Saccharomyces cerevisiae S288C: one gene and its partners. The gene in region 3 interacts genetically with the main gene of each other region. Each region holds a gene or a part of one and is shown on either strand. Other genes may lie near its edges.

Region 1 (9,042 bases), on a different chromosome or scaffold from region 3:
AGGCATCAACATCACCCTAATGACAGTAATTCGCCATCAGATGAAGATGAAAGCGAAATGTACGAATTAGATCTTTTTAATACCTTACAAAAGGATGTCGAAAAGGCCTTGAAACAGGATAGTAATGATACGTCAGATTCACCTCAAGATGACCAAGTGGGTAAATCTCAGGCACAGGCGGTAACGCTATAGAAATTTTCAGGTTTGCAAATAAAAAAAGTTGATAGAGAGGTTTTTTTATATTTTAGATATATGCATTCATAATTCGATATATACATGCATGCATATCTCGAGTACAATATTACCATTGTTGTAATTACTTGTTAAATATCGCCTCTTCTATTCATGTTTGAAAGGAAAAGAATGGTGTGGTTACACCTCGGGGAAGATATTTTCACGGGCATATGGAACTAATAAATTGAACGTCACGGTAATACTACATAATACAGTATTGGCTAAACAAAATGTGCCTGACGATATCAAAGTTTCTGTAGTGATATTCATTCCTGGTTTGCAGGCATGAAAAGATTAATATTGTCATTGAGCAATGTTCAATTATTGCCTTTTATTTAATAACATTCTACAACCTCTGTATATAATACATATAATTCCATTTGTATCCACAATTCTCTTCATGTTGAGATATATATCTTGAGGGGTATTCGTATCGCTTGTATACAATGATAATCGAGGTAAAACTCATGTACAGTAGTGCGGCATATTTTTCTTATTTAGTTTTTGTAGGCGGCATAGTATTACTTGCAGATTTTTTTAAAGTCCCTGAGCCCCAAAGTTCCAAAGCAACAAAAAAACATAAATCCTTTGCAGGAAAAGTAACATTTGGCAAAATTTCAACAAATTATGCCCCCCGAATTTAGCAGTGATCAATGTTAATTTGCCTACATGCTGATGCAGAGTTGTAGAAACAAAGAATTTTACCCTGTATGAAAAATTTTCTACCGATGTAATACAAAAATGAATCATCAAAATTTTATGACGTAGGAAAAGACAGAGAAACTTTCTATTTCTTTTCTGGAGTAAAAAATTAATTATCTATTTTACTTAAACGAAGATAGGGTTTCGTAATCACGAAAGAACAAGCAAAATTCTAGTTGACAGGTCAGTTAAGGCACAGAAAAAGAAATATTATTCATTACTATCAAGATACCGTAGAAAAGAAAAAGAACCGGGGATGAATAATAACAAAACGGGCTGCTTTTTCTTTTTCTCTTTCTTTTTCATTTGGTCCCTCTCCACTCTTTCTCCACGTGGCTTTGCTTTCCCCGTATTTTTCTTCGTCAGAGAGACTACATGATAGTCCAAAGAAAAGAAACGGGGGGACGAAGAAGAGGAGAGGAAAAACCAAAATATAATTTTCCGTGAAATAGATTCTTTTTCTCCACTGCACGACTTCTTCTCCTCCCACAAAAAATGACGCCTCATAGACAGCCCCGCAGCTTCACTTTTAAGTTTCTTTTTCTCCTCACGGCGCAACCGCTAACTTAAGCTAATCCTTATGAATCCGGAGAAAAGCGGGGTCTTTTAACTCAATAAAATTTTCCGAAATCCTTTTTCCTACGCGTTTTCTTCGGGAACTAGATAGGTGGCTCTTCCACCTGTTTTTCCATCATTTTAGTTTTTCGCAAGCCATGCGTGCCTTTTCGTTTTTGCGATGGCGAAGCAGGGCTGGAAAAATTAACGGTACGCCGCCTAACGATAGTAATAGGCCACGCAACTGGCGTGGACGACAACAATAAGTCGCCCATTTTTTATGTTTTCAAAACCTAGCAACCCCCACCAAACTTGTCATCGTTCCCGGATTCACAAATGATATAAAAAGCGATTACAATTCTACATTCTAACCAGATTTGAGATTTCCTCTTTCTCAATTCCTCTTATATTAGATTATAAGAACAACAAATTAAATTACAAAAAGACTTATAAAGCAACATAATGTCTGAATTCGCTACTAGCCGCGTTGAAAGTGGCTCTCAACAAACTTCTATCCACTCTACTCCGATAGTGCAGAAATTAGAGACGGATGAATCTCCTATTCAAACCAAATCTGAATACACTAACGCTGAACTCCCAGCAAAGCCAATCGCCGCATATTGGACTGTTATCTGTTTATGTCTAATGATTGCATTTGGTGGGTTTGTCTTTGGTTGGGATACTGGTACCATCTCTGGTTTTGTTAATCAAACCGATTTCAAAAGAAGATTTGGTCAAATGAAATCTGATGGTACCTATTATCTTTCGGACGTCCGGACTGGTTTGATCGTTGGTATCTTCAATATTGGTTGTGCCTTTGGTGGGTTAACCTTAGGACGTCTGGGTGATATGTATGGACGTAGAATTGGTTTGATGTGCGTCGTTCTGGTATACATCGTTGGTATTGTGATTCAAATTGCTTCTAGTGACAAATGGTACCAATATTTCATTGGTAGAATTATCTCTGGTATGGGTGTCGGTGGTATTGCTGTCCTATCTCCAACTTTGATTTCCGAAACAGCACCAAAACACATTAGAGGTACCTGTGTTTCTTTCTATCAGTTAATGATCACTCTAGGTATTTTCTTAGGTTACTGTACCAACTATGGTACTAAAGACTACTCCAATTCAGTTCAATGGAGAGTGCCTTTGGGTTTGAACTTTGCCTTCGCTATTTTCATGATCGCTGGTATGCTAATGGTTCCAGAATCTCCAAGATTCTTAGTCGAAAAAGGCAGATACGAAGACGCTAAACGTTCTTTGGCAAAATCTAACAAAGTCACCATTGAAGATCCAAGTATTGTTGCTGAAATGGATACAATTATGGCCAACGTTGAAACTGAAAGATTAGCCGGTAACGCTTCTTGGGGTGAGTTATTCTCCAACAAAGGTGCTATTTTACCTCGTGTGATTATGGGTATTATGATTCAATCCTTACAACAATTAACTGGTAACAATTACTTCTTCTATTATGGTACTACTATTTTCAACGCCGTCGGTATGAAAGATTCTTTCCAAACTTCCATCGTTTTAGGTATAGTCAACTTCGCATCCACTTTCGTGGCCTTATACACTGTTGATAAATTTGGTCGTCGTAAGTGTCTATTGGGTGGTTCTGCTTCCATGGCCATTTGTTTTGTTATCTTCTCTACTGTCGGTGTCACAAGCTTATATCCAAATGGTAAAGATCAACCATCTTCCAAGGCTGCCGGTAACGTCATGATTGTCTTTACCTGTTTATTCATTTTCTTCTTCGCTATTAGTTGGGCCCCAATTGCCTACGTTATTGTTGCCGAATCCTATCCTTTGCGTGTCAAAAATCGTGCTATGGCTATTGCTGTTGGTGCCAACTGGATTTGGGGTTTCTTGATTGGTTTCTTCACTCCCTTCATTACAAGTGCAATTGGATTTTCATACGGGTATGTCTTCATGGGCTGTTTGGTATTTTCATTCTTCTACGTGTTTTTCTTTGTCTGTGAAACCAAGGGCTTAACATTAGAGGAAGTTAATGAAATGTATGTTGAAGGTGTCAAACCATGGAAATCTGGTAGCTGGATCTCAAAAGAAAAAAGAGTTTCCGAGGAATAAGAGATTATACTTAAACTAGCACTGATTTTTTTAAGGCTAATGGCTACTAATACTTTAATAGATGATCTTCATACTTTTTTATTTAACGATTTTTAATGATGTTTTTATTTGTACCACTCATTTATCTAGATTTTTTTAATACTGATCAAATCTTACGGACTCGACGTTAAAAAGTTCCTACATACGTCTGGTACTTGAAACGCTGCTTCGAGGTATTGACACTATAAGAATACGATCCAAATACTTACACCGCATGTAAAAATATGCCGACAATATGAATACTTGTTGATGAATGATATTTGATTTTAATCCGGCAATTTACCTCCTTTATATAATCCAATAATTGTTGATAATTAGTGGTTAGGTTGCAGTACTAATAAGAATTAAGACAAATATTCTTCTACTATATAAAAGGTGCAAACAAAACACACGCCGATCGGCCATACTAAACAAGACCAACATAATAATGGTGGAACCATTTACTGTATTTTCAATGTAACGACTCATATCCTTATACATGAGACGTCAAGTTTCTCGTTGAAGTAATAATGAATCTTTAACTTTACTGTGCCACATATCACGTAATCATATATTGTTTTTCGCCTTCAAGCATCAATGGCGTATTGTGGCTGATTACTTCATATGATCACTAATTAACTAATTATGAAAAATAATAAATAAGTCACCAACCAAGCAAGGAAATTAGCTTCAAGTAAACAGTTGGTTCTTTCTGGCGAGTTAGAACAAAATTAAACAATAATCTATCGACTAGCATTCATATCACCAATATATCGTCATATACAGCGAAATGATTGCATTTACTGGATTGAATGGATACACTTTGAAGATGAACCTTTATCATAGTTGAAATGGGATAGCTGAGAAACTTGTGCATGATTTGATGATTGTTTGGGTTCAACCGTTGGGGATAAGGACTATAATATTAGGTACACAGAAATTCCAAATATATAAGTAGCAGTGCTTTATGAAACTATAATGTCAGAGTAGTTATGTAAAAATAGAACAATTGATATGATCGTTTCTTTAATAACTCGATAAGGAGTTCTCTACGAAAAATATCAACAGTGAAATATAATCCGATATAGTGTAACGGCTATCACATCACGCTTTCACCGTGGAGACCGGGGTTCGACTCCCCGTAGCGGAGTTTTCTTTTTGAAGAAATTTGAAAATTTTTTTCTTCACGTCGACCAAGGTTTTTTCCGGTCAAACATGGCCAATAAAACGGATACCATTTCTTGGAAATTATACGCTTCGAAGTATTCTCAAAAAAGGAAATTGTCTGCAGTGAAGATTGGATATAAGGTTCACTAAACACAGAGTAGTAATTGAGCTGTAATTTGTTTACAGAACGAATCAAATCAGCGTAGTGTTACAGTTTATCTGAGACTGCATATCTTTAATCTCTATGAGCGAGAAAAAAGAAGAAGTTAAAAACGCCACCGTTAAGGTGACTGTCAAACTTCCAAAAGAAGATAACCATTCGCATAATACGAAACATCTCAAAAAGACCCAAAGTTCAAAAAATAATGATATATCTTTTGAAATCGGCAAGGAATCCAAAATTCAAACTGTTCTAGATGTGTTGGCTATGATTCCAAGTTCCAAGTACCTGACAAACGTTGGGCTGAAAACAATTGAAGGTGACTCCCAGCTATCTGATGAAATGTCTATAAAGGAAATTGTTGGTGAGAAAAGCGAGTTAAAACTTCAATTGATACTGAAGCCATATAGCGCAAGAGAGGCTTTGAAACATGTGATTACTGTTCGCGATTTCATCGGATTTGCCCAAGAAACCTCAGATGGATTATCTGAATTTGCTATTTCTACTGGTTCAAGCTTTTCCTCGTTACCGTTGGGTCCTATCAAGGAACGCTCAAAACAAGAAGAAAAAGACGAGAAGAGCGATCCAGAAGAAAAGAAAAATACTTTCAAAGATGTGACTGACGAGGAAAAACTAAAATTTAACGAGATGGTTCACGAAGTGTTTTCTAGCTTTAAGAATTCTTCAATTAACAAACTTCTCACCTCTGAATCCAACATCATCACGCCGTGCGTCAGGTCTTTGAGTTTCGCACCTTACAATCCTGTACCTCCATTTTATAGAAGTAAAGGTCATCTATTTTACCTACAAATTGTCACTTTGGAAGGTGAGAGTTTCTATATCACTGCAATTCCATCTGGATTCTATGTCAATAAATCAAACTCAACTAAGTTCGATCCTTCTCCAAAAGAAAACACTGACGAGAACGCGCACTCATCCCTGATCTATTACAGTCTATTTGACTTGATTGCTTCTCGCTCTAAAAAATTCATTTCTCATGTCCAAGCATTCGAGAAAAAACTATCTGCTTTAGATTCTACAAGCTATGTAAGACCAAGCAATACTTTCTTGCATAAACCATGGTTTGTTTCTTCATTGCCACCAAATAACCCAGATTATCTGAGGTTACAAACTGCCGCCTTGGATACCACGCCAGAAAGAAACTTTAATGATGAATTTCAAGCCATTAAAGATTTGACTACGTCAACATTACAAGATCGTATTGAAATGGAAAGGTTGTTTTCTAAAGTTGTACATGAATTTTCTGTTACTGCAGCATCAGGCGCTATGTCAATTTTTTACAGTGATTTCGTTGCAATGAACCCAGAATCTCCAACTCGGGATCAAATTTTCTTAAAAGACAATATCTTTTATTCCTATGTTTCCGACGTTAGTGGCAATTATGAAGGGAAAGGTGGGGATGAAGCTGCAATCGCTGCTTCCAACCAAGACTTGAAGACAATCAATATTTTGAATCGCTTGCATATGCACGAAGTTCGTTATCTTTTAACAACTGTAGTCGAATTTGCAGGCAGAAGAATTTTGGCTCAAACTCCAGTACCTGGACTCTTAGCTACCATGGGTAACAAAATTGTAAAAGATGCTAATACCGGCGAAGAGGTTACCGAAGATTTTGTCAATGATATTAATGTAAAGTACGGCCTTGATGAAGGTTTGGGAAAGATTGTTTATGATGCTGACTTTGATTCTGTTTTAGAAAAAAAGTTTGTCAAGGCATTCCATTTGAAAAAGCACAAAGTCAACGGTACTGAATTAGCATTTTCATCGCAATCCAAGGGAATAGTTGGATTCGATAAGAGGCGCTATATTTTGGATTTAGCCAACACGTATCCCTTGGACATCAACTTTGCTAGACAAAACTTTGACAACATCGAAGAGACTGGAAACCGTTACCCACACAGGCAAACTTTGTTACGTCCGGAGTTAGTAGAAAAGTGGTGGAATAATAAAGTTGAGAAGGAAGGTGTTGAATTTGAAAAGGCCTATGAAGAAAATTTGTTTAGTTATAACCCTGATGCTTACCAGGTCGAAGGTATTGAGGACGCTAATGTTGACGAAATGTCGAACTACTTACAAAAAGAAGTTATTCCCAGCGTTATTCAAGATTATTTATCTGGAAATTTGAGCACTCCTTATAATGGTGAACATTTAGCCGATACTTTACATAAGAATGGTATCAACATGCGTTACTTGGGTAAAATTATCGAGCTTTCTCAAAAGGAATTGGACTCCCAAATTGTCCACTACGAACAAAATTTGAAAGCTGTTGAACAAGACAACAAAGAATATGAGGATTGGGAAAAATCTTATCTGCAAAAAATTGAGAACATGATTAAAGAGAGACAAGCCAAGATTAATAAGCTGGTACAAGAAGGCAAAGAGGTTCCAAAAGAACTAACTGAAGATTTGAAATTAAACGATGAAGAAATCAAAAAGCCCACCGATGGAAAACCTGTGGTCGTTGCCTATGATGAGCTAGTGCCATTAATTAAAATTTCCGAATTAGAAATTGTTTCGCGTTCTTTGAAACATGTTTTAAAAGATTTGAGTAAAGATGTTCCGGTCTTCTTGGTTCCATCACTGGTAGCATACGTTTTCAATATGTTAGTTGGTATCAACTACAATGCTGATCCGAAGCCAGAACCAGTCGACGAATTTTATCCAGTCAATAAGTGCTCATTTGCTAAATTAACACGCTCCGAATTGCTGGAAGCTGTCTCTAAACAAGCCTTCTTGCGTTTCCGTCATCAATTACCATCCAATTGGATCGAAGCTTACATGGAAAATCCTTTCACCCTCATTAGAAGTGTTTCTTACAAATTTGGTATTCAATTGCTCAATAAAGAATACTTCTTTACTAGAGAACAATTGGAAAGTTATAAGCAAAGTCTTGACAAGAAAATTAGGAACAAGTTTGTCGAACCACCAACTACCTTCAGTTTAAGCGATTTGACCATTATTCCACGTGTTAAGTTCTCAGAATATACTTCTTCAGTTAGTGAGGAATTTTGGGCTCAAGGTGCTTCTATGATCAACGAAGACAAACAAAGTGCTTTGACTTTACTCGCTCAATCAATTACAGTCTTAGAAGATGTTAACAATATTTTACATCCCGCCGTTGCTGAAAAGTACTTGTCATTATCTGCCATTTATAATAAGTTAGCATTATACCCTGAAGCTATCGCGTTCTGTCGTAAAGCATGTACTATTTATGAAAGAGTTAGCGGTATTGATTCTTTTGAAATGATGAGGGCTTTAACTAATTTAGCAATTCTAGAATTCTCTAATGAAAGTCCTTATAACGCTACTGTGGTTTATAATAGGCTCGCAGAAATCCTAAAAGTTTATGAGTTACCAAAAATCCATCACCCAGCCCCCACAAGCATTTTCAACCATTTGGAACAATTAGCCCTAGGTGTTCAAGATACCAAATTGGCTATTGAAGTCTTGGGACAACTAAGCTCCTATGTTGTGGAATTAGAAGGCAAAGATTCATTAGCATATGGCTATACCGAGTCACGTTTAGGTAATTTGTTTGCAGCATTGAAGGATTTCCACCGTGCATTAGAGCACATCACTGTAACCCAAGGGATTTTCACCAAGCAATTGGGTATGAATCACACGCACTCAGCCCAATCAAGACAGTGGGTTAATGGTTTAAGCTCATTAATAATGGATTTAAAACAAAAGAAGCAACTTGCACAAGATCAAATGTCGACAACGGGATCAAATTCAGCTGGCCATAAAAAAACCAATCACCGTCAAAAGAAGGATGACGTTAAACCTGAATTGGCTAACAAAAGTGTGGATGAGTTGTTAACATTTATAGAAGGCGATTCTTCCAACTCTAAGAGCAAAAACAAAACCAACAATAAAAAGAAGCATGGTAAGAAATAGAGAGCTAACTTAACAATCTCGTTTATTTATTATTTTTCTTTATATCTATAGCCCATACTTGTATATACTACGTGTAAGTACTAGATATAAAACGAAAAAAAAATACTTACAATTATTTTTTTTTCTTTACTGCTCTATTCTTTTCTTTATTCTATTCATAAATGCAAACAATTAGTTATGTAATTTTAAAAGTTGAAAAT
Region 2 (9,277 bases), on a different chromosome or scaffold from region 3:
AGCTCAATTAGAGAATGAGATTGAGGGTAAGAATGAAGAAACTCCTCAAAACGAAAAACCTCCAGCATATGCCCTATTAGGTAGTTGTCAAACTGATGGCATGGGACTCGTTAGTTGGTGGGAATGATAGATAAGGACGCCACTGACTTCAATAAAACATTTAATAATAATAGTAACAGTAATAATGAGGATAATAATATATAATAAACGTGAATTTTCTTTAGCATTATATACGCTAATTCTTTCTCTATTTGAGGGGATACTCTCGTATCCTTTTTATCTCGATAGTTGTAGTTGTACTTGTTGTTTTTATTAACCCTTCTCATAATATATAATAAAAAAGTACATTGACGTCAATTATATTGCATATAACGCGATGTGGAACTAAACTTCTTGTATCCGCTAATAACTTTATCAACAGCCTTCAGGAAATCCTTTTCAGTAGCCACCTTTCTTCTTGCTCTAATGGCAAACATACCGGCTTCTGTGCAAACAGATCTTAATTCTGCACCGGTAGAGTTTGGACACAGTCTGGAGATAAGTTCCCATCTGATGCCACGTTCCACACTCATTGATTTAGAGTGAATACGGAAGATATTTGCACGACCTTCCAAGTCAGGTAATGAAAACTCTACCTTACGATCAATTCTACCGGGTCTCAATAAAGCTGGATCTAAAGTGTTGGGCCTATTGGTGGCAAACATCACTTTAATGTTACCACGAGGGTCAAACCCGTCTAACTGTGTAATCAGTTCTAACATAGTTCTTTGAACTTCATTATCACCACCAGCACCATCATCAAAACGAGCACCACCAACAGCGTCGATTTCATCGAAGAATATAATGCAAGCCTTTTTGGTACGAGCCATTTCAAATAATTCTCTAACCATACGAGCACCTTCACCGACATATTTTTGCACTAGCTCAGACCCAATGACCCTAATAAAAGTTGCATCAGTTCTATTAGCAACAGCACGAGCACATAATGTCTTACCAGTACCAGGTGGCCCATATAATAAGATACCCTTTGGTGGATCAATACCAAGAGTAGCAAATCTTTCTGGAGATAATAAGGGCAGCTCGACAACTTCTCTCAGCTTTTCAATTTGGTCTTTACAGCCACCGACATCGCTATAAGTAACGTCAGGCTTTTCTTCAACGGTCATCATAGTAACTGATGGGTCAATCCTTGGAGGCAATGGAAGTTCAATATTATATTTCGACCTATCGACACCTACACGCATACCTTCTTCTATATCTGTTGGAGAAACACGTTCACCTAATCCGACGACAAATTTGGCAATTTGCTTAAGATTTATCACGTACTTGGCATCTTCATCGTCTTCGTCTGCATCAGTAGACTGTTGATTGCTATTACTATTGCTATTGCCGCTGTTATTATTATCTGTCGTAGTTTCGTCACTTTCACCATTCCCCTTAATGATCTTCGTGCAACGAGCGACTTGTAAGGGATGTTCTTCGCCCAGTCTCTGCCTATCACCCATAATATCCCATAGATGGGAGGGTGCTAACCCTGTATCGCTTTCTTTCACACCGGCCTTTTCTTTGATTCTCGCTTCAATGTCTTTTAAGTCATTCTCAGTTTGCTTTAATTTGGCTGCGTATGGAGCTGCACCGTATGATTTTAAGACTTGAATGTCACCTTCTGTTAAGGGTACGATCTTGTCATCATCAGGTTTTTTATCATCGTCTTCCAAAGGTGCCTTGTATTTTTCCCAGTCTTCTTTTGGTGGCATTCCGTATAGTTCCTAACTTCCTTGATTTATTACGATGGTTCAAAAAAATATCTCAATTGAATATTGCTTTGAATTCTCATCTCCTTGGAAAATACTGTATATACCCAGTTCTTTGTATAGTAAGCTGCATGCTAGTTTAGTTTTCGGGTGGCAAAATTCGGTAATCCTATTCACTATACCTTTTCCTCTCGTCCGGGTAAACTCAGCCATACCAAATTGACAAGGATAGTACATTTATGCTAATCATAATTAAAACAAGGTATGTGTGTTCCAGATGCATATAGATAACGAGTCATATATAAATATATATATATGTGTCTGTACATGATGTACTCGGTCAAAAATGGCGGATTACTGGCTCCACATTTTAATCGTCTGCCATGACGTGTAGGCCATGACAGCAACTCCAAATACTATGACGATTAAATCTAAAAGAAGCCTGGCTCTCGAGGTTCCAGATAAGATGGACGCCTTATAGTGCAACAATGGCGGGTATATGTAGATCAATGGGATACACGCGAAGGAGCCTACCAGTGATACAAATTTGTCCAAATCGTTGGCGCCTACCCAAGCGAGGATAGATGTCAGGACGACAATAGCGCAACGGAAATAGTTTTTCAACCATTTGACTTTCGGGTTGTATTTACCAGATGCATTTGAGGGAAAAGTCCAGTTTTCCAAAATACGTATCGCGGGAAATAGCTGCAACGGCGTGGATAACAAAATGGCTAATGCATACAGTAATTGAACAGTGAGAGTATAGGAAGTGTCCTGCGGAAAATTCAATAAAACAACAGTTTTCACGTCAGATCCAAAAGCGGCATAGCATAAGAGACCACATGATATGAAAATCACTGCCACGATACACATCACCGCGGACAACGATGGCCGGAAATGCTTCGGGTGTTTCATTGACTCCTGAATGGGGATAAGTAGGCCTATACCTTCAAAGGTGAATATGGCGGTACCGATGAACAACGACCAGTCCGCTTTATTGAACATAAGCATTGTATCGGATGCGACACCATTAACAGCAATATAATAAATGGAGTAAACGTAAACATAAACCAATCCCAGTAGAATAAATAGATCTGCTATTAACGCGGTCCCACTTAACTTGGCTATGTTTCTTGTCAAAGATAGTGGGACAAAGATGAGTACTTGTGCAAAGATATAGGTGGCTAGACTGATGCTGCCCGGTTTCAAATGGAAGAAATTTTCAGAAAAGACCTGCAAATTAGTTGCAGTGAAAACAGTGTATGCAGCAGAAAACCCGATTTGTGACAAGGCGATAGACGAAAGAATGGCAAATTTCATTTTGGGCCCATATAGTATACGACCCATGTCACCGTACCCATCTACGCCTACTTTGTCCTTGGTGGTAATCAATGATACGAAACATCCATAAGAAATGAGGGCACACGAGAGTAGACAAAGGGCGCTAAATCCCCAACCACCGTTATGGAAAGCCTTTGGTAGGAAAAGCACACCTGTCCCAACAAATGACTTTAACAAGAGCAGCACCGCCTTTACCGTAGATGATTTGTGAGGATGGCGCCCGTGTTCACGAGAAACTAGCTGGGTGCTTTCCGTTTCCAAAGCTTCCTCCTCTGGCTCCTCTTCAGTTTCTTCCTCCTCCTCCTCTTCTTCCGATAAATCTTCACCAGCGAAGTGGCCATACAAGGTCAAAAATTCAATAAAGTTCCTGGTGAAAAAATTCGGTATGGGCGCATCAACGTTATGTTTCCTGCGCTTCTGTATTATAAAAGATCTTCTGAATCCACCAGGAGCCCTGATTTCTTCGTGCGTCATCGGTGCGGGCGCCAGGCCTATTGCCGCTAGAGGATTCCCATTCGCCTCCGAGTTGTTGTTAAGGTGAGAGGAAGATGCTATAGAAGCGGCAGAAAAGCTCATAGACCTTTTACGATTCGAGAATGAGGGCGCTTGTGAAGGTATTGAGGTGGAAAGTGCAGGTTGACTTGGGTACTGATACTGCGATGGTGATGAAGGATGGTCGTTTGTCCACTTATACAGATCTCTTGTAATGTCTCCGCCTTGCAATTGTAGGCTGTTACTCGGGTTTCTTATCAAGTGGCGTGCCACGGCATCTACCACATGTGGCTCAGGGTTATTTATGCTCACTTCAAGCGTGCCATTGTTACAGGAAGTGTGCGACGCGTCGGGTACGCTAGCATGCACCGCTTCATTGTTCACAAGCAGCGGCGGCTTTTTTAGCAAACCACCTGTAGTTCCACTAGATTTTCTACTTCTGCTTCTACTTCTACTATTACCGTTGCTATTGCCACCGTTGCCGTCCGTTAAAGGTGAGCCAGACGCATGCGAGATTCCTGTACTGCCTCCGTTGTTATTTTTTTTGTTGTTGTTGCTCTGCGTTCTTCCAGAGCCACTTGAAACCTCTTTTCCATTCATATCCGCGATGCAATCCCTTATACGCTTCTTAATAAACTTTGCTTCCCACTCTTTCACTACTGACCATCGATCCTTCTTATTTCATAGCCTCACGAGCACAAATGATAATACGAGAAAAAGGCCCGACCGGGTAACCAACCCTTTTACTATCTCTCGCTCTACCTTTAGTAATAATGTCGTCTATATAAGGATTTACTCATACAGTAGTCCAAAATATACCTTTCCGTGCTAAAAGTAGCTCCCAAAAGTAGCGGAGGTGAGGATCATCCTCTATTGCCAGGTACCAAGCTCGCTGGAAAGTCGTTATGGAGTCACGGCTTTGAGGGCGGGGGTGGACCAATCACAGCGCAGAACGCGGCGCCGAGCAAGCGCTGGACCAAGGGATCCGGGCCTCTTCTATTGGTTGTTTGTTTGCTCAAACCCGTTATATATTCAGGCATCCTCGACTCTAACCTTTTGCCACGTCGAGGCGGCTTGAAGCTTAAATAGCACTAATAAACTAGTAGACACATTATAACTAACCAGTAGTATACTTTGCACTTTCGATATTCTTTTCACTAATCTCCTCCCCAACCCCTTATTGAAGATAAAAAGAAAGAAAGAAAGAAAGAAAAAAATCCAATTTCATAGTACGAAGAAGAACGAGAATAAAGATGCTATCGCTAAAAAAATCAGCGCTCTCCAAGTTGACTTTGCTCAGAAACACAAGAACATTTACATCGTCAGCTTTGGTGCGCCAAACGCAGGGCTCTGTAAACGGTTCCGCGTCCAGATCTGCAGACGGGAAGTACCACATAATAGATCACGAGTATGACTGTGTGGTAATCGGTGCCGGTGGTGCCGGCCTTAGAGCGGCCTTTGGTCTTGCCGAGGCGGGCTACAAGACTGCTTGTATATCCAAGCTTTTCCCCACCAGATCCCACACTGTTGCTGCTCAGGGTGGTATCAATGCCGCTCTGGGAAATATGCACAAGGATAACTGGAAATGGCATATGTACGATACTGTGAAAGGATCTGATTGGCTAGGTGACCAGGACTCCATCCATTACATGACCAGGGAAGCGCCCAAATCGATCATTGAACTGGAACACTATGGTGTTCCTTTTTCAAGAACTGAAAACGGTAAGATCTACCAAAGAGCCTTTGGTGGTCAGACCAAGGAGTACGGTAAGGGTGCTCAGGCCTATAGAACATGCGCTGTCGCAGACAGGACAGGACATGCTCTTTTACACACGCTTTATGGCCAAGCTTTAAGACATGACACACATTTCTTTATTGAGTACTTTGCCCTCGATCTGTTGACCCATAATGGCGAGGTCGTTGGTGTCATCGCTTATAATCAGGAAGACGGTACCATCCACAGATTCAGAGCACACAAGACCATTATTGCCACTGGTGGCTATGGTAGAGCATACTTCTCTTGTACCTCTGCTCACACATGTACGGGTGACGGTAATGCCATGGTTTCGCGTGCTGGTTTCCCCTTGCAAGATTTAGAGTTTGTTCAATTCCATCCTTCAGGTATATATGGGTCTGGTTGCTTAATCACTGAAGGTGCTCGTGGTGAAGGTGGTTTTTTGGTTAATTCTGAAGGTGAAAGATTCATGGAACGTTACGCTCCTACGGCCAAGGATCTAGCTTGTAGAGATGTCGTTTCCAGAGCAATCACCATGGAGATCAGAGAAGGCAGAGGTGTTGGTAAGAAAAAGGACCACATGTACTTACAATTGAGCCATCTACCTCCGGAAGTTCTAAAGGAAAGATTGCCAGGTATCTCTGAAACAGCAGCCATTTTTGCTGGTGTAGACGTCACCAAGGAACCTATTCCCATTATTCCTACCGTCCACTATAACATGGGTGGTATTCCCACGAAGTGGAATGGTGAGGCATTAACCATTGATGAAGAAACTGGCGAAGACAAGGTTATTCCCGGTTTAATGGCTTGTGGTGAAGCCGCTTGTGTTTCTGTCCATGGTGCCAATAGATTAGGTGCCAATTCCTTGTTGGATCTTGTTGTCTTTGGTCGTGCTGTTGCCCATACGGTTGCTGACACTTTACAGCCTGGGTTGCCACACAAACCACTACCTTCTGATTTGGGTAAAGAATCCATCGCAAACTTGGATAAACTAAGAAATGCTAATGGTTCAAGATCTACGGCAGAAATTAGAATGAATATGAAACAAACTATGCAAAAGGATGTTTCCGTCTTTAGAACACAATCATCTTTAGATGAAGGTGTTCGGAACATTACTGCAGTAGAGAAGACCTTTGATGATGTGAAGACGACCGATAGATCAATGATCTGGAATTCTGACTTGGTTGAAACTCTGGAGCTACAGAACTTATTAACCTGTGCCTCCCAAACAGCTGTTTCCGCTGCTAATAGAAAGGAATCCCGTGGTGCTCATGCAAGAGAGGATTATCCAAATAGAGATGACGAACATTGGATGAAGCATACATTATCCTGGCAAAAGGACGTCGCTGCCCCAGTGACTTTGAAATACAGAAGGGTTATCGATCACACTTTGGACGAAAAGGAATGTCCTTCCGTACCTCCAACTGTAAGAGCCTACTAATTTGAACCTCATTGTATTTTACGGAAAAGAATATCATACTCTTCTTTAATTGCACTTTTTTTGTGCGTTTGCACTTTTTTACCACTGACTCACTAATTTGTATATATACCTATTAATATACATTTACATAAAGTTTCTTCTTATACATACTCTATTTATTTAGTTATTTATTAACTTACTATTTATTTATTTATTTATTTATTTATTTATTACTTTCAATTTTTTATCGAGGCATTTCCTTAGTTCTCCAATTTTTTTTCTCATTAGCCAGATGTGTGTTTTTCTGGCCCTCACAAAAAATGAGCAGGAGAAAGTCATATGGCGAACGTAAATATGTAACTAAAAATTAAGATGGGCAGACATTTATCATTTTGCTTATGACTAAATTGCGAATTGCTGTACAAGGGTGCTGTCATGGTCAGCTAAACCAAATTTATAAAGAAGTGTCACGAATCCATGCGAAGACTCCCATCGATCTATTAATTATTCTTGGAGATTTTCAAAGTATTCGTGATGGTCAGGATTTTAAGTCAATAGCCATACCACCAAAATATCAAAGACTCGGTGATTTCATATCATACTACAATAATGAGATTGAAGCCCCAGTCCCTACTATTTTTATTGGCGGTAATCATGAATCGATGAGACATTTAATGCTTCTGCCACATGGTGGTTATGTAGCAAAGAACATTTTTTATATGGGATACTCTAACGTTATATGGTTTAAAGGCATAAGGATAGGTTCATTGAGCGGGATATGGAAAGAGTGGGATTTCAATAAGCAACGACCAGATTGGAATGACCTAGAAAATAACAATTGGAAAGCTAACATAAGAAATCTGTATCATGTAAGAATTTCTGATATTGCTCCTCTTTTTATGATCAAGCATCGTATTGATATTATGCTGAGCCACGATTGGCCCAATGGAGTCGTTTATCATGGCGATACTAAGCACTTGTTGAAGCTTAAGCCTTTTTTTGAGCAAGATATTAAAGAGGGAAAACTAGGCAGCCCAGTGACCTGGCAACTACTAAGAGATTTGCGGCCTCAATGGTGGTTGAGCGCCCATTTGCATGTCAGGTTCATGGCCTCCATTAAGCATAATAAAAGAAGCCACGAACCGCCTAATAAGTCAACTTCAAAGACAAAAAAAAACAATAATGAAATAGATTTGGATTTATCCAGTGACGAGGACGAAAGGTCTGGTATTATGAATTGCCAAGAAGAGAATGAGTATGATTCCAAATACGGCGAGACACGGTTCTTGGCGTTGGACAAGTGCCTGCCAAGAAGACGTTGGTTAGAAATTCTGGAAATAGAACCGGATACATCGCATGCTTCGTGGAAGGACGAGAATCACCGTATGTTCTGGGATCCTGAATTTATCAATAATTTGGTAATTTGTCAAAAAAATAAGAATCTCCTAAGCAATAAACCGTTTAATAGCGTCAATTGGATAGAACTGTCTCAATCTAATAGAGAGGAAGGAAGGGATATTGATTGGGAAAATTATGCCATTCCTGCATACACCTTAGATATTCAGAAAGATGAAGTACGACAAACTAAAGCATTTATCTCTAAATTCATGACTTGAGAGATATTTCTATTACGAATGCAGACGGAATTAGAGCTTAAAGCCAAGCCTTCTTGAGAGAATTTTTAGTCATACACATGAATATATATATATTTTTTATATATTTACTAATTTGAACGATCCGAAATTAAAAAAAATATCAATTACTTTCCTCCATGCTTAAAATTTGAAAACTTGGTCCTTGGAGTAGCCCAAATTGTTCAAGATACCGATCAATTCACCTTGGTCCTTAGGTGACTTCTTCTCACCTGAGTAAGCGTTCATAAATGGTGGGGGACCGCAGACAAACAAATGTGTGCTTTCCTTTGGACCTGGAACATGCTCCTGAATAAAATCTTTGGAGATGAAACTAATTTCACCATCAAAGTCTTGGTCATCTTGCTTGTCGTCAACAAAGTAAGTAACATTGAACTTGTCAGGATACTTTTCCTTCAACGCATCCAGTTCCTTCCTTAGTAAAATGTCCTGAGGAGTCTTGTTCCCATATAGCAAGTTAACTTTGGTCTTGTCGTTTGGGTTTTCAACTATATGATGAGCTAATTGGTACAGAGGGTTGATACCGGTACCGGCACCTAACAAGGTGATTGACTTGAACTGATTAGGTTGCCACTTCCATTTCATAATAGGACCCTTGAAAGAAACGGTGTCATTTGGTTTAAGACCAAATAAATGTGAGGTCATTTTACCACCTTCATAATGCTTGACGACCAGCTGGAAGTGACCCTTCTGGGAAAGATCACTCACAGGAGTGTATGGTCTCACCACATTGGATCCCTTTGGTGTGACAAATTTAGCAAACAGAGCAGATGCTAGGACCAACCCCATTTCTGAGTCTTCGGTAGGCAGCTTAAAAGTAAACCTTCTGGTGTCGTGGGATTCCTCCTCTATTTTAGATATTGGCAAGTCGATCCATTTGTCA
Region 3 (7,773 bases):
CAGGATCCCTGCCCTGTCGGAAAGGAAGATAAGCACTTGGCTTCTGCGATCACTGAGCAACTCATTATGGTCAAAATTGTAACTACTCAACAAGAACCCGTGCAACAAAACGTAACCGAATAGGACAAGGGTCTCTAACCTGGTAGGGACCAGACCGATGAAAAACCACCTTCCCACTGACATAGCATGGTTATGAACAAGCGCTGGAAGAACATAGTGGCCTCTTAAGAAAGCAGACACCTTGTTTTTGAACACCGTTTGTTTAAGTCGAGAAAAGTTCAAGAAGTGATATACAGCTGCAATAAACAGAACTCCTATCCAGTATAAGCAAATCGTCACTCCATAAACATTTCCTTTGTCTATATTATCCAGGGGCCCAAAATAAGCCCATACCCACCTATCTAGAGAGGCTTTATTGGGAGTGACGGGATATCGTATGTTTTCCTTTACCTCATCAAGAGGCCGGATGAAAAGGGATGCATTGGCAAAAATTCGATAATACTCCTCATTGCTGACGACCTCATCTTTGTGATAATCGTGGCAATACTGATTAATTTTGCTAAACGTTTTTTCGAATATTTTTTTACTTTTCTTCCTACTGTCGAGAACATCCTTCGCGCAATGTAACCAAGACCCTAGTGCTGGTTCATAAGTGCAAAGAGTAGCGTGCCGACCCTTCACATCCGTGTCAAATTTGTGTGATTCCAATTCTTTAGCACAAGCATCAATTGCTATCTGGTCCCATTGCGTTCTTTTCTTAGTTGATGCTGGTTTTGCTAAAGAACCTGGTGCCAAATACACCAACAGCAGCACTAATCTAGCGAAAAGCATTCGAAATCTGGGTGAATTAAATTAACTGCGACAAAATTGGTGATGTGACATACCGAAAACGCTACATTACACATTTGCCAAGTAAAAAATTGACGCTCCTTTTTTAATGATCGCTAATGTAATGAAAAGTAAAAATCCAATTAAACGAGGAAGCGGTAAAATATGATTGCTGTGTAGTAATGCCACAGTCTTCTTAGTCCTACCTATGTCCTAGATTTTTTTTTGCACCCTGTTTGTTCCGCACCCCGCTATCCCATATTTTTTGATGTATGTGAAGGAAAGCAATCTAAGGGCTCAAGAGCCGAGTTCCGCCATTCTAGGAAAGGGTGCAAAAAAATGGGGTTCAATTATCGTTCGAGATTTGTTATTTTTTTTTTTGTAAAAGTTGATTTATGGGGTATTTAAGCCAAGAACTATTTGAAGTATTAGGAGGTAATATGAATGTTCGAACAGATACAAACAAGTACTTCCACTCGCTTAAAAATAACTAATAACAATAATCCCTAAAATGAAATTCTCTTCCGCTTTGGTTCTATCTGCTGTTGCCGCTACTGCTCTTGCTGAGAGTATCACCACCACCATCACTGCCACCAAGAACGGTCATGTCTACACTAAGACTGTCACCCAAGATGCTACTTTTGTTTGGGGTGGTGAAGACTCTTACGCCAGCAGCACTTCTGCCGCTGAATCTTCTGCCGCCGAAACTTCTGCCGCCGAAACCTCTGCTGCCGCTACCACTTCTGCTGCCGCTACCACTTCTGCTGCTGAGACTTCTTCTGCTGCTGAGACTTCTTCTGCTGATGAAGGTTCTGGTTCTAGTATCACTACCACTATCACTGCCACCAAGAACGGTCACGTCTACACTAAGACTGTCACCCAAGATGCTACTTTTGTCTGGACTGGTGAAGGCAGCAGCAACACCTGGTCTCCAAGTAGTACTTCTACCAGCTCAGAAGCTGCTACCTCTTCTGCTTCAACCACTGCAACCACCACTGCTGAAACTTCTTCCTCTGCTACATCCTCTAGCACCGCTGAATTATCTAGTTACACCGGTGCTGCTGATGCCATCACCGCTGGTACTGGTTTGATGGGTGCTGCCCTTGCTGCCGTCATGTTATTGTAAATGATATGTGAATAATCATGCGGGATATCCGATTTTTATGAAGCACCTTGCGGCTTGGCCTTTTTTCGAAGTTATGTTAGAATAAAAAAATTTTAATAACACACATTAAGTATGTATGTATATATACTGTTTCAAGTTCGTTGGTCTTCCTTTAATTGTTTGAAACGGTTAAAAGTATCTAATTAAAATAAATATACCCGAAATCATACTAAAAAAATAGTTAATATTAATAAAAGTAATGATAATAATAATAATAACAATAATAATAATACGATGATGATGATGAAACGAAAAACTGCTACATTGAAGTCACTGAGAAACGTAATGAAAAAAAGTCCTTTTTACTAGCCTTTTGAAGGAGAAAGACAATTATATTAGCTTTTCATAGATAAGTTATAAATATGCTATACACGATAACTAATAGCTTTTTTCTGGTTTGAAACCGAGCTTATAATAGGTAAGAAATCAAACCAAGGGCCAATGCACCGACACTTGCTCCTTGGAATGCAGCAGGAGCAGCACCAGAAGAAGAGGCAGAAGAGGAGGAGGAGGATGAGGAGGATGAGGAGGATGTAGATGATTCGACGGCTTGAGTGACGGTCTTGGTGTAAAGGTTGGTTGATGAACCTGAACCGTTTGTCAAAGTAAGTGTCTTTGTTGTACTCTTTTCAGAGGTGGTATCTGGTCCTTCGGTGACAACCTTTGTGTAAGTAGCATCACTATTACTGACAACGACAGTTCTAGTGGTACTGTAACTAATGATAGGGTCAGCGGTGTCGGTAACGACCTTAGTGTAAACGTTATTACCGTTAGTAGCAGTAATAGTCTTAGTGGTCATTACACTCGACACAGCTGCTGCCGAGACGGCAGTCATAACTGTAGTAGCTCCGAAAATAGTTGAGAATTTCATTATTATTGTTTTGTGATGGCTTTATGATAGACTTTTTTACAAGGACCGTAAAATTCTGCCTGAAGCACGCACACATTCCTGTTTTATACATATATTGCTAGGTAATATAAAATGCTAATTATACTGCACCCAGTTAGATTCGTATACATCTTATCCGAACTCGATTACAAATTATACAAGTGATCCAATTGGGTGAACCTCGAAACAGTTCTCTGTTCAAGGGTCCGCTGCGGGGCGAGGGGGGGTGCATTTGAACTTAGGGTGCATTGTTTTAAATCCTATACAGGATATGAACTTAGTTAGTTCAATGATCGCTTGATAAATTGCACCCTGCTCTTGAGGGTCATTCTAAGTAATGAAATTTTGGGTGTTTTTGTTTGCCGTCCTCGTTCAATTCGCTTCCGCCGTTCTGGAAGCCCCGTTAACTTCCGTTCCCGCATTCCGATCGCTGTAGGGCTTGGCGTCAGTAGCACCCAGATATTTCACTGTAGGAGCTTACTTCACTCATTTCAATTGGTATACAGAAATCTATGAAATGTAGTTAAAGGCATCACTAATCCGCATCCGCGATACCCGCAACATATACGGAATGTCTATGTAAAAATGTCTCCTGTGACTTTCATTAATCGAATCTTTCTATAAAAAAAAAAATGAGCAAATCACAGTACACCCACTACTCGCATCATCAACGTTGAGTCAGTAGCAAAGTCTCCAGTTATGGTGCCCTCTGGTCCAATTGTAGTAAATTCGTTTGCACGGATGAAAAATAGCTCATGAATGTTCTTGTGTATTTGAATACCATTATGTGCGCGGCTCATACGGATTTAAGTGTGATCTTCCCCTCCGTATTCCCTGTCAATAACTCAAAGTTTTCCCATTTCGGTTTGAAGTTCTTCACAAGGGAGTTTCTTGGCGCAAAGGCATGATGATCGCATTTGCCTCAGTATATTTCGTCATTTCGGTACTGAGAAACGAAATTATTTTGCCTGTTGTCTTGCGTTTTGGCAACCCTTAAGAATTCATCTAATATGTTGGTCCTTAAAGATAAGCGCTTTTGCTTGTAAAATTCTGATTTTTTGTCTTGTGATGGTAATGCTACATTGAACATCAATGCGTATCTGATTTTAAAAAAAAAATTAGAAGTGTGTATAAAATGAAGGTATTATCAGTTGAGCAAATATTACATGTGCTCTTCAAAAGTACCTGCTTTTCATTTAGTGACTATCAGGATGATAACGCCGCTCGTCTTATTTTTAACTGTCGTTTTCTGATAAATGTGTTGAAAACGTGCTAAACAACAATTACCTGTTCTCAAGAGCCTTGAGCCTGGATTGAGAGCAAAAAATCTCTCTTTCATTTTATACAGAATTCGGAAAGAAGATGGATATTTCATGAAAATCTGTTGGTAAAAAGTGGATAAAAATTTTGTATTATTAGTATGTTCTTAGTGGTTAGGTGATAACGAAGCGAGAAAAGCAGGGCAAATGGAATAGAATAGCGTGTAGTTGTTAAAATTTTATTTCACTGAGGCTTATATGCTTACTGAGAAATTTTTTTTTTTTACAAAAAACTTCTTTTTATGTTATACCAGCTGTGGATTACCACAACAATTGGAAAGAACATCAATCCAGAAAAAAAATTCAGTTAATTTGGAGGAAGAGAAATTTAAGTCATGGAACAAGAGTGGGAGACAGTTAAAAAATGCTTCCAAAGATTAGTAGATTGAAAAAGTTTGTGAAAGTCGATCAATTGTCTTCATTGCAGCTAGACATAAATTATGTTTCAGGTCAAAACAATTAAATATATACTTGTGATAGGTAAAATAGTGAGGAAATAAATAAGGTAATTGATTACCAACTTTGGTATTCTTCAAAGTATTCGATTGCCTTTGCAGGCTTCTCTAGAACAAGATTTGCCGTTTGATCCCTTACTTCGTCAACGAAAACAGGAGGCCCACAACAAACCACAGCTAACGATCCATTTAGGTCACCAACTTCATGCAGAAGCTTTTCAACATTGGGTCTTCCATGATGAAAAACAGTACCATCAAATTCAACTGGATTAGGTGACTGTTCTAGGGTAGTTGCCATAACAACACCTTTTCCATCGGCCTTCTCGTCTTGTTGAGAAATTTCCAAACTATCATTAGGAGTTAATGCCGGAACTTCCATTGTATTGTAGATGTGAAGCTGTACATTAAGATCTTCTAGACACATCAGCTCCGGCTTGTAAGCCTCGAGTACGTTAAACCCTCTAACTGCAATCACTAATTTTATGAATTGTTTTCCAGTTGCCGCTGACGTTTTTCCAAGTTTAATGGCGTGTGCAATGGGCCCTGGCAAACCAGTACCTCCCGTAAGTAGCAAGACGTTATCATAATTATTGACTGGAGATGAAGAGCCATATGGACCTTCTATAGCTAGTCTCATAGATGCCTTACCTCCATTGCAACACACATACTTTTTGACAAGTTTTGTTACTCCCTTTTTTTCCTTCAGGATAATAGTCAGCTCACCATCTTTGATAATTGAATCTAAGACTGTGAAAGGATGTGACTGCCAAAAATACAGGTGGTGTAGGAATGAAACGAAAACATACTGTCCTGGTTTGGCTTTCCATAGCCTTACTGGTCGTTTGACTGTGACTCGAATGATGTCATCGCCAACTAACTGTAAGGAAGCCTTAGGGAAACCGAAATAAGATACTCTAACAATTCGAATTAGCCTATCAATAGTCCAGATAGCAATAGCAGCGTATATCCACTCAATCCCACTCAATTCTACGACGTGCTCCCAACACGTATAAAAGAACAATGCGCCAAGCACAATATGGAGAAATAAGAAGGCTTCATAGAAAAACTTTCTGAACATTGCCAAAGAAAAAAACACCATAACACCAACTATACAAAGAGCAGCTACTCCAAATTGCCAATATGTCTCTTCCTTGCTTGCTGCCCAATCTTTGTAGAATACGGAATAACTGGTATAAGCAGCGCCATGAATCACAGCATCTAAAAACATCATTCTTCCCAACCACTTATGAAACATTATGAAAGAGGTATATTTTACTCCAGAAATGAATTCTAGAAAATTGTTCCTTCCTGCGAAAAGAGCTATTAGGGGAAAATGTGCAAATGCCAGGACACCACTTCTATCTGCCACGTATCGAGCAATCTGTTCTCTACGAGAGTCGAAAATTAAGTTGTAAGGATCATATTGATACCCGTATGCCAGAAAAACTGTATGAAGCACGAGGTATCCAAGTATAATGACGCCTTCAGATCGTGTGGGAAGGAAGCCTGTAAAAATTTTAAGGTAAGAAAAGCTCGACGCATGTTTACCCCAGATAGTAGGTATTGTCAAATATCTTCTCACATATCTTACAAGTCTTTGTTTAAATAAGGCAGTTTTAAACGGAGTGTAACTTAGATAATGGAGTATGCTGGCAAGAATCATAACACCTACAAAATAGGCGCAAATAATACCACCATAAGTATGACCAATGTCGTAGTTGGCGTAGAAACCATGGTAAGAATAATAATAGTTTTCTCTCACTTGGGCATCCATCTCGATTGGATACGTAAGATTCGCGCTACCTTCAGAATACTGTATTATGTATGTTGTTCCATTATTCAGCATATTATAGAAATCTGCATTAGTCATATTCTGAAGGTTATCAGTGTAATATGCGCAGTCTTCTTTGATAGCAGCAAAGGTTTTTTCAAAGGTTCTATTGGAATAACCCTTTTCATTCAATGATTCGTAAATACAATACAACATTGACTGTAATGCCGGTTCATATGTACATGCTGGTGAGGAATATAAATCGTCACTACTATACTCCCAGGTTACTTCGCCGAGAACTCCCATGCAGGCATCTGTCAAAACCAGTGGTAACTTGCCGTACATTTTTGTCTTAGCAGGGGAGGCGCTTGCTCCTGACAAGCAGCATAACAAAATAGAACCACAAAGGAGGACCCAATACATTGTTTTCCTTGTGTCTTATAATTTTTGAATTGAGAACGTTCATCAGCAATTGAAGTTAATCATTCTCTTGCCACCTTATATAAGTTGCGACGAATCTTTTAATATAAACAATTGATCAAATTCTGTACATCTATGTCAAAGATGAAAGCTTCTGACAGCCAAAAAAAAGAGTCTTTCATCGCCAACGAATCAGTAGCTTTTGTTAGAATTAAGAAGTTTGGCTTTTCGCCAATTCTTTGAGATGAGGTACACCCACATTCCACGTAAAACTCAAATATCGGTCCAGGAAAATTCTCGAGTTCAATCACGTCACCAATAGTAATAATAATTGTGCTTCTCTTGACACTCGCAAGGGACTTATTCTTTACCATTCAAATTTTTCTCCTATTATACACCCGAAATAAAGGCAAAATGAGATATGGGTGCATTTTACAAAAGAGGTTGCAACTATCCCGTTCGCAGTGTAAACTATGATCTAGGGTCAACAAAGCGGTTAATTTGTCATAGTTCTTTGCAGCTTTTAATTCTCTGATATCTTTCCCTCAAAGTGTATTGTTTTCGTAACTTTAGATTTTATCTAAATGTTTCATTTCCGGCGCATTATTAGCAAAAGGGTGCTGTCTCCCTAGCTGCATTCCCAGACCGGAGGCACAGAATTCTGTAGTGATACTCTGTCATTACTTACTGCAGAAAAAGTTAAGTAGCCGCTCAGTACCTCTTAATTGAAATGAAAAATTTTCGTCGCTTATTTCCTGCTTTGTTTTTGAGTACGTTTCCAATCATTTTCTGGCGTACTTCGTGAAAGGGTAAAATTAAAATACTGAAAGCATTCATATGCTGATATAGTGCAGAAAAGCAATGAATGCTAACAACTTCCCGGATATCTGAGCAACTGGATTCGATCAGAAAAGGCACTTTTTACA
Region 4 (7,570 bases), on a different chromosome or scaffold from region 3:
ACATTCCTTTGTAGAGATACTTTACCAGCACGTCCCTCTGAGAATCACTCAAATTTTTGATTACATTACCAATATCGGCTTGCCTGACTTGTGTCAATGCTTCAAGGACGCTCTTAAAATATTGCTCCTTTGTTGGAGCATCTGCACTGTATGGAGGATCGGTTGTGAGTAATTGAACGGCTCCCAAAGAGTCACCACTTGTGGCAAGCGAGCGCAATTGATTCATTCGAGGTTGTAATTCTTGTAATGTGACAGTAGTTTCGTATGGTGGTACCAGATCGGCAGCGGTTAGTCTGCCACTCTCTGGATCAAATGCATCGATGTCAATTCTCCTCCAATCGGCTTCCATTGCTTGATCGTTCGCGTGTGTTGTGTTGAGTCTTCTCTGGTCTCCTTTGCTATAGTATCTTGTGTTAAATGCGGGCTGTTTTTCTCTTATTTTGTTATAGGGGCAAAGTCTGAGAAAGGGAAAAAAGTATCCAAATTAACTGATGTGCGGGTAATCATAGACAACAAGTAGCAGAGTTTAAGTATTACTTATATTCAATAGTCGGGCGCTTCTTTGGGAGCTGGTTGAGACTCTCGAGTCCGTGAGTTTCTAGATTTATATACAGAAGTAACAGCAGCAGTAGGAGTGGCGGCGGAGAGCAATGGCCTGTTTCCACGGTACCTCGCGTCCAATGTGGAACTGCCGTATCTATCAGCGCTATATGCGGAGGAAGAAGTTTCCCTGCGTGGCAGCCTGGGAGCATAATTTCTTTCGGCGGGATTTGATGTACTTGCGCTTGCAAACCTTCCTGGAAGCCTGCTGTCTCTGTTGGAATAGCCTCTGCCTCCTAGGCCGCCGCCCAATCTTCTTGGCTTGAAATATTTAACGGTTCTGCCTCTTTCTATGTCGACTATGCAGATTCTGTCTTTGATTTGGATACCTCTGTGTACTCCAATCTCCTTGAATGCCATTTTACTACTTATTGGGTCTTTGAAAACTATGAAGGCGTAGCCTTTACTCTTCTGGGTTATCTTGTCCTTGACTATCCTAATTTTTTCGATCTCGCCAAACTTAACAAAATACTTTTGCAGTTCAATTTCGTCAAGATCGTATGGTAGCCTCCCAATAAATATCGTTCTGTAGGGATCTGTGTCCTTGATATGAGGGTCAACGTTAGGATTCCAATTTTGTAGTCTCCGGTCTAACAATTGAGCATTTTTGATCTTGGAAAGTTTGATGTCTTCGTATCTTTGGAGATGGTTGTTTGGAGATCCTTCAGGAAACTCCTCCATATAGTGCTTCAAAGAGGTTGATAGTAAGTTTGCAACGCCAGTGATATTTGGATTTGTTTGTCTCTTCGCATATGGGTAATCGGTTGGTCTTTTGTAAGATAAAGGTGGCCTTGGCTTGAAAAGTCTCGACACGTCGTCTGGATACTTGGATAGATTATAATTCATCAAGGTTGAGGTGCCGATTACTTTTTTAAGGTTTCCTTTCGACAGTCGATGACCGTGCTGTGTGTCATTATCTTGCAGTTCTTTTTTTCTTCAGATGCGTTAATTTCCTACGAAGGGCGCATACAATGGTGCTGATGGGATTTATGAGCAAAACAAGTAGGCGAGCAAGACATGAACGAAATTGTAATGAAGCGTACTTCCTTTTCCCTACAACCTTAAAAAGGTCTCACTGATATATCCATTCGCAATAATGACAAGATTTTTGCATGGGACTTCTTTTTTTCTTTTGAATAAGTCGCGTTATAAGGACAAAACATTAAAAAAAAATATGTATTGATTCACTGATTTATATATACAGAAGTAAGTACCGGGGTACCTAAATATACGCATAAAAGTCTCTTTCTTTTTTTTTTTTTTTTTTTTAGCTTCCTACATTTCGTTAATAATATTATATAGATTATATTTATATTTAAGAAAAGTAATATCAGCATATTATGAATAGACAAAAAAGTCTAAGGTCAAGATTTATTAAATGTTAGATTATTAAGATTACAATTAACAACATTTGTTGTTACTTCATAAAATTTCGTTACTTCATAAAAGAACTACAGTCCCCCACTTCTAAATGAGTGGTTGTAGGGGTTCATATACCTCCCATACTGTTGGAATAAAAATCAACTATCATCTACTAACTAGTATTTACGTTACTAGTATATTATCATATACGGTGTTAGAAGATGACGCAAATGATGAGAAATAGTCATCTAAATTAGTGGAAGCTGAAACGCAAGGATTGATAATGTAATAGGATCAATGAATATTAACATATAAAATGATGATAATAATATTTATAGAATTGTGTAGAATTGCAGATTCCCTTTTATGGATTCCTAAATCCTCGAGGAGAACTTCTAGTACATTCTACATACCTAATATTATTGCCTTATTAAAAATGGAATCCCAACAATTATCTCAAAATTCACCAACTCTTCACATACATACCTGCGGTAGCAAGATAGGTACACTTTTTCTACGTTTCACGAAGGTAGCGATAGGTACCTCACTCATTGTAGGTGCGGGGGTAGCGATGGAGGTTTCTGTACCATTACCACCACAGCCACTATACTCACGTAGTGAAGTCCCTAGCGTGGAATTGTGTGGTATCGTTGCTATCTGTCGTTCGCCACCCTCGGTATATCCAACGTGCAGGCCAATATCACTCTCTAAGAAAATCGTATCAGGATTGGTACGGACAAACTCTTCATAGCCTACGTCGAAATCAAATTCTGCTAAAGCTGTGACTGTAGTTAAACCTAAAACCGCGATTATTGCTTGAAAAACTGTGGAGAAATTCATGATGGACGGTCACGTTCAGGGTCTGAGAAAACCACTCATTCCTATGTCCCATGTGGTTGGTTGCAATTTGCTGCTATATATACGACTTGGCTGTAGAGAGATCTACGTAGGATGTGTCCACTATCAAGGGGGGTTTACCAACGTTATCTTCTATTTTAAGTGCTCAAATGAAGGTTGCATTATATCCCTGGCAGTTTTCCCGGCAATTTTGCCGGCCGCTTATAATAGTCATGGTGAAAGGATTGTTGCTTGTTGTGGTTGCAACATGACAGTTGCCTACTAACTAAATAATAATCAAAGTCAGTTTCTCAACAATGGAAAACCTGTTGTGACCTTATCGAAGTAACAACATCGTATAATAATTAATCTGGAAAAAATACCATAGTTACTGCCGATACAGGTCTACGTGACTTACTGACAAACAGACTGAGTGACTACGAGTCCAGAAATTTAGTATACCATATTGTCGCTTCTTCTTATAGCCCAGCTCCAGGTCTGGATACGGTTCTGTATAACTCGTTAAGGTTTAAGTGTCCGGCAATTTTTTTGAAGTTTCATTTCTTCACTCGATGACCAAGCCGTGTGCCATCTTTTCGTTTTCTTTTTTTTCAATGTGTTTAATTATCTACAAAGAGGGCACACACAATAGAGCTGATGAGAACCCATGAGCGAAACAAGTAGAAAAGCAAGACGTAAACGGAATCATGGTGGTGTGTACATTTCTCTTTTTTTATTACACCAAGAAAGCTTAATTGGTACGTATTGTTCGTGATAGTAGCATGAATCTAGCGTGGAATTCTTTTATTTAAGGTCGCGTTGTGACGACAAAACATTAAAAAAACCACATGTGTTGATTTGTAGACTTGTATACACTCCAGTAAGAAGGTGCACACCAAAATACATGCGCATATAAATTATTTTATATAGCATGCTATATTTCGTAAATTCATAAAATTTCGTTAATTCATAAAAACAGCTCCCCAAACTTAGATGAGTGGCTGCAAGGGTTCTGTCTTGTAATCAACATCTACCATTGCGCCATCGTGTTTACATACAACTTCGACAGACACCTTGAATTTCTTGGCGTTCAACTCCGTTTCTTCGCCATAATTCCAAACAATCCGGTCAAAGGATTCCTGCTTTTTCTTATCGTGGAATTTCAATTCTGGCTTGTTGATAGCGGTTTTGATGTCCTTTAGCAGGTGCTTCTCAACATGCTGGTGTAAATGGCGAACAAACTTCTTAGAGTGCGAATTGGCAGTCTCTTTGATCTTTTCCGGATCATCATGCGCATCATGCAGGACAAAGGGTGGATAGTACTTCAGTTGGCAATGGACATGGTCGAACTCTTGATCTTCCGTCTCACCCTTTAAATATGTTTCAAAATCATGCAAATCCTCAAAAACCTTTAAGGACTCACCACTTTTTGTAGTGATGGTGGACATCTTAGGACCCTTTGCTTTCTTATCCTTTTTCGTCATTCTTATTATTTAAAATACTTTGTTATATACTGTACGTTGTTTCGTTTGCACTTAATCGTGTTTCGACAGATAGGTGAATCAAGATCTACCTTTACGCGAAAGATACGAAGAATTGAGAAGGAGGTGCAAGGGAAAAGGGCAATAGAGGATTGGGACAGCCGATGCTTATATACGGACGATTGCCAACCGCCGAAAAGGTTCAAGCCAAGAACAAAAAGTAGAGAGAATACCCCAACAATAGCATTTGATGGCTAAACGGCAGTGCCCGTTAATACTATTCAAATTATACCCCGCATTAATAATTCCTGTCCCTTTAGTCTCGTCCTTCAGCCGTATAGCCGCAAAACTTCGTTCAATGATTTCATGCCATCATTACACCGCGAGTCGTGGGTGCATTGTAGTTTATTACGAAAAGTATCTACAATACTTGCTTAAATAACCTACATTGTTTTAGGCACTATGGCCGAGTGGTTAAGGCGACAGACTTGAAATCTGTTGGGCTCTGCCCGCGCTGGTTCAAATCCTGCTGGTGTCGTTATTTTTTTATTTTTATTTTTTTTTTATCGCTTACTGATTATCAGATATCTTCGACAGCCTCACACAGATTGGTGATCACGCACCCATAATCATTTCTTCGGGCATGCTCCTATTAGCCACGGTTCGCAGAATAATCTGCGCGATGTTATTCACCAAGACCGTGGAGTCTCCTTTTCGGTGGGATCCGCTTATATCCGTATGCGTCGGTTGCTTTCTCGGGGAAAGGAAAAGGAGAAAGCCCGGATAACACGACACAAGAGTCATTCGTTATGCACGGACACAGGGAATCGTGCGGAGCCGGGGATAAGAGGCCGTGCTAATTTCCGCGGAACATCGGAATGCAGTGGACAAGTGCCCTGAGAACAAGCGGCGGGCGGGTAGCTGCCACGGAATAGGCGCCACGTTTCCGTGGGTGACTATGACTTTTGATCGATTCCATGTTGTTTTGCCCTGAATTCTGCGCCCCTCGGAGAAGTTTCTTTTCTTTTTTATCTCTTTTTCATCTCTGACCTTCGTTTCCTTTCATATAGACTACGCAGCAGAATCATGGCAGGAGCTATTAGCTGAGTGGGCAGATTACGTTTGCGCACTGTGCATTGTGACAGATTATATTTGCTTCGCTTCTCCCTCTTACTTCTTCAGCATAAGTGTAAGCCATATGTTCCCTGAAATCTTTCTACCGTCGTCTTCTCTTTTTTTTTTTTTTACTATAAATCAATGTGCTCTCTTCCATGATTCTTGCCTTTTGGATCTTCGGTACTTGTGTGGGTGAGAATGGTGTTATTGAGTCAATTCAGGTCAGCTTGGTTCAGTTCTAATCTAGCCCTTTCCCTACTATACAAATACTACTAGCCTTTTTTTTTCTCTCTCTTTCTCTATACCACTACCTCTTCCTCTTCCTTTTTTTTCTCTTCTTTTTCTATTGTCCCCATCGCATCTTAGCATAAACGCATCCGCATTCCCTTCCTACATTTTTCTTTTCTACTAGTTATAGCTTTAAAACCTTCTTTATTCTCTTTCTACCTATTCTTCTTCGTTGCTTATATCCTATACACATATGAACGGTCCTCCAACATTCACTCAATATAGAATAAATAAGTTTTCTGGGAATGGAGCAACTCATAAGATTAGAGAATTACTCAATTTTAATGATGAAAAGAAATGGAAACAGTTTTCGAGCAGAAGGCTGGAGCTGATAGACAAATTCCAACTAAGTCAATATAAGGCAAGCGAACAAGATCAAAACATAAAGCAGATTGCTACAATATTAAGAACGGAGTTTGGATACCCTGTAAGCTGCTCTAAGGAATTCGAAAAGTTAGTCACTGCTGCTGTGCAATCAGTGAGAAGGAATAGAAAACGATCAAAAAAACGCTACGCTCTCAGCATAGCCAATGGCAGTGGCGGCAATGTCAACAACAGCATCTCGTCAAATTCTACTTCTGACGACGAGATCTCTCCGTCGATCTACCAGCGCTCCAATTCGGACTTCCTGCCTAGTTCTAATTATGCTGCAGATTTCCAGTTTTCAAACAAGTTCCAGCCTCTCATGAGTCACCAGAGTCATAACGGAACCATTTTTCCAACCGTGGGCACCCAAAATGACTCATCTCCATCGGTTACTTCGACCCAACAAAAGTATAACGATATAGTCACCATGCTAGTGCACGATCTTGTTACGAATGTCGTACCCCTATCAGAACAAGCTCTCAAGGACCCATATACTGGGCCAAACCTGTCACATTTTGCTACGTCTTCACTCAGCCAGCAACCTAACATTACCACAAACATCCCGATAGATTCTACCGTGCCATTTTTCCTGAGGGAAAAGTTACTCCTACAAATCCAAAGATCAAGAACTTGTCAGGACATTTCGCAGGCTGCAGGATCCATTGATATATACGCAAATCTGGAGATTTTGGGTGAAATGTCAATCCGAATGTCTATTGCATTCGTTATCGAACGATTTTTCTCCAACTTGGTCTCTTCTTCAATGAAGTATATCACTGCCAAGACGTGCTCTCCTGAAAATCTGGCTTTGTTGTCTCAAAGACTGTTCGGTGCCGCTACAAGACATAACTTATCTCATTTCCCCGCGGCTCAGGTACAACTAAGGCTACTGTATTTGGTCATAGGTGGTATTGTCAAGGATTTTGGCTTCGACCCCACGCTTTACCCTTTAAGTGAAATCATACATCATATTGTGATGGTTCAGTATCCTTTGGCTAGTTCCTGTGCGTCAGAACCACCATCATCTTCACCTAACAAGAGGGTTAAGAGAAGCCCTCCTGTCGTTTCAAGTGACGTTATGTTGAATAATAATAACACTCTATCGAATAGAGCTACACTTTTAACTACGCTACCAATGAAGCCTCAATCGGCCAATAAAGATGTTAATCGCAGAGTGATCATTAGATTTAATGATCGCGAGCAAGCCTTTACTTTCCACCAGTTGAGCAATGGACCACCCACGGTGTCTGAAGTTTTGGAAAACTGTAAAAATTTATTTAATATTATCAACAAGAACAAGAATTTTGGTATTTTCCATAACGATAACCTCTTGAACGATGAAAGTTTGGCAAAGTTATTTGATTCCTTTTCCACGAGCGAGATTCATCTCGTAATTAAGGACATTTCCACCATTCCACTACAAGATGCAAAAATACCAGTGCCCATTACGTTGCCCAAAATGTCATGCATAGGTGAAAACCCCTCTATGCCTTCTATTCCATTGGTACCACAAGAAAAAG

What was found.
Region 1: mutations in FIT2 (region 3) and HXT2 together harm fitness more than expected from each alone (negative genetic interaction), as found in Saccharomyces cerevisiae (one large-scale study listed by BioGRID).
Region 2: mutations in FIT2 (region 3) and AVT3 together harm fitness more than expected from each alone (negative genetic interaction), as found in Saccharomyces cerevisiae (one large-scale study listed by BioGRID).
Region 4: mutations in FIT2 (region 3) and RGI2 together harm fitness more than expected from each alone (negative genetic interaction), as found in Saccharomyces cerevisiae (one large-scale study listed by BioGRID).

What each region holds. Positions count from the first base shown.
Region 1 is NC_001145.3:286,126-295,167, forward strand, and holds HXT2 (hexose transporter HXT2), read left to right. Parts: upstream 1-1,953; coding exon 1,954-3,579; downstream 3,580-9,042. Other genes in the region: ANY1 (Any1p), read left to right, coding at 1-192; translation initiation factor 3 subunit CLU1, read left to right, coding at 5,009-8,842.
Region 2 is NC_001143.9:166,693-175,969, reverse strand, and holds AVT3 (Avt3p), read right to left. Parts: upstream 4,188-9,277; coding exon 2,109-4,187; downstream 1-2,108. Other genes in the region: DNA-directed RNA polymerase III subunit RPC25, read left to right, coding at 1-127; proteasome regulatory particle base subunit RPT1, read right to left, coding at 354-1,757; succinate dehydrogenase flavoprotein subunit SDH1, read left to right, coding at 4,841-6,763; DBR1 (RNA lariat debranching enzyme), read left to right, coding at 7,141-8,358; MCR1 (cytochrome-b5 reductase), read right to left, coding at 8,518-9,277. UniProt on the Saccharomyces cerevisiae protein: Involved in amino acid efflux from the vacuole to the cytoplasm. Capable of transporting large neutral amino acids including tyrosine, glutamine, asparagine, isoleucine and leucine.
Region 3 is NC_001147.6:1,054,622-1,062,394, reverse strand, and holds FIT2 (Fit2p), read right to left. Parts: upstream 2,865-7,773; coding exon 2,403-2,864; downstream 1-2,402. Other genes in the region: FRE5 (putative ferric-chelate reductase), read right to left, coding at 1-831; FIT3 (Fit3p), read left to right, coding at 1,340-1,954; YOR381W-A (uncharacterized protein), read right to left, coding at 3,805-3,972; FRE3 (ferric-chelate reductase), read right to left, coding at 4,715-6,850. UniProt on the Saccharomyces cerevisiae protein: Involved in the uptake of non-siderophore and siderophore sources of iron. Has a role in the retention of iron in the cell wall and periplasmic space.
Region 4 is NC_001141.2:244,114-251,683, forward strand, and holds RGI2 (Rgi2p), read right to left. Parts: upstream 4,284-7,570; coding exon 3,789-4,283; downstream 1-3,788. Other genes in the region: ARC15 (Arc15p), read right to left, coding at 1-349; U1 snRNP complex subunit SNP1, read right to left, coding at 544-1,446; YIL060W (uncharacterized protein), read left to right, coding at 2,279-2,713; YIL059C (uncharacterized protein), read right to left, coding at 2,437-2,802; VHR1 (Vhr1p), read left to right, coding at 5,878-7,570. UniProt on the Saccharomyces cerevisiae protein: Involved in the control of energetic metabolism and significantly contribute to cell fitness, especially under respiratory growth conditions.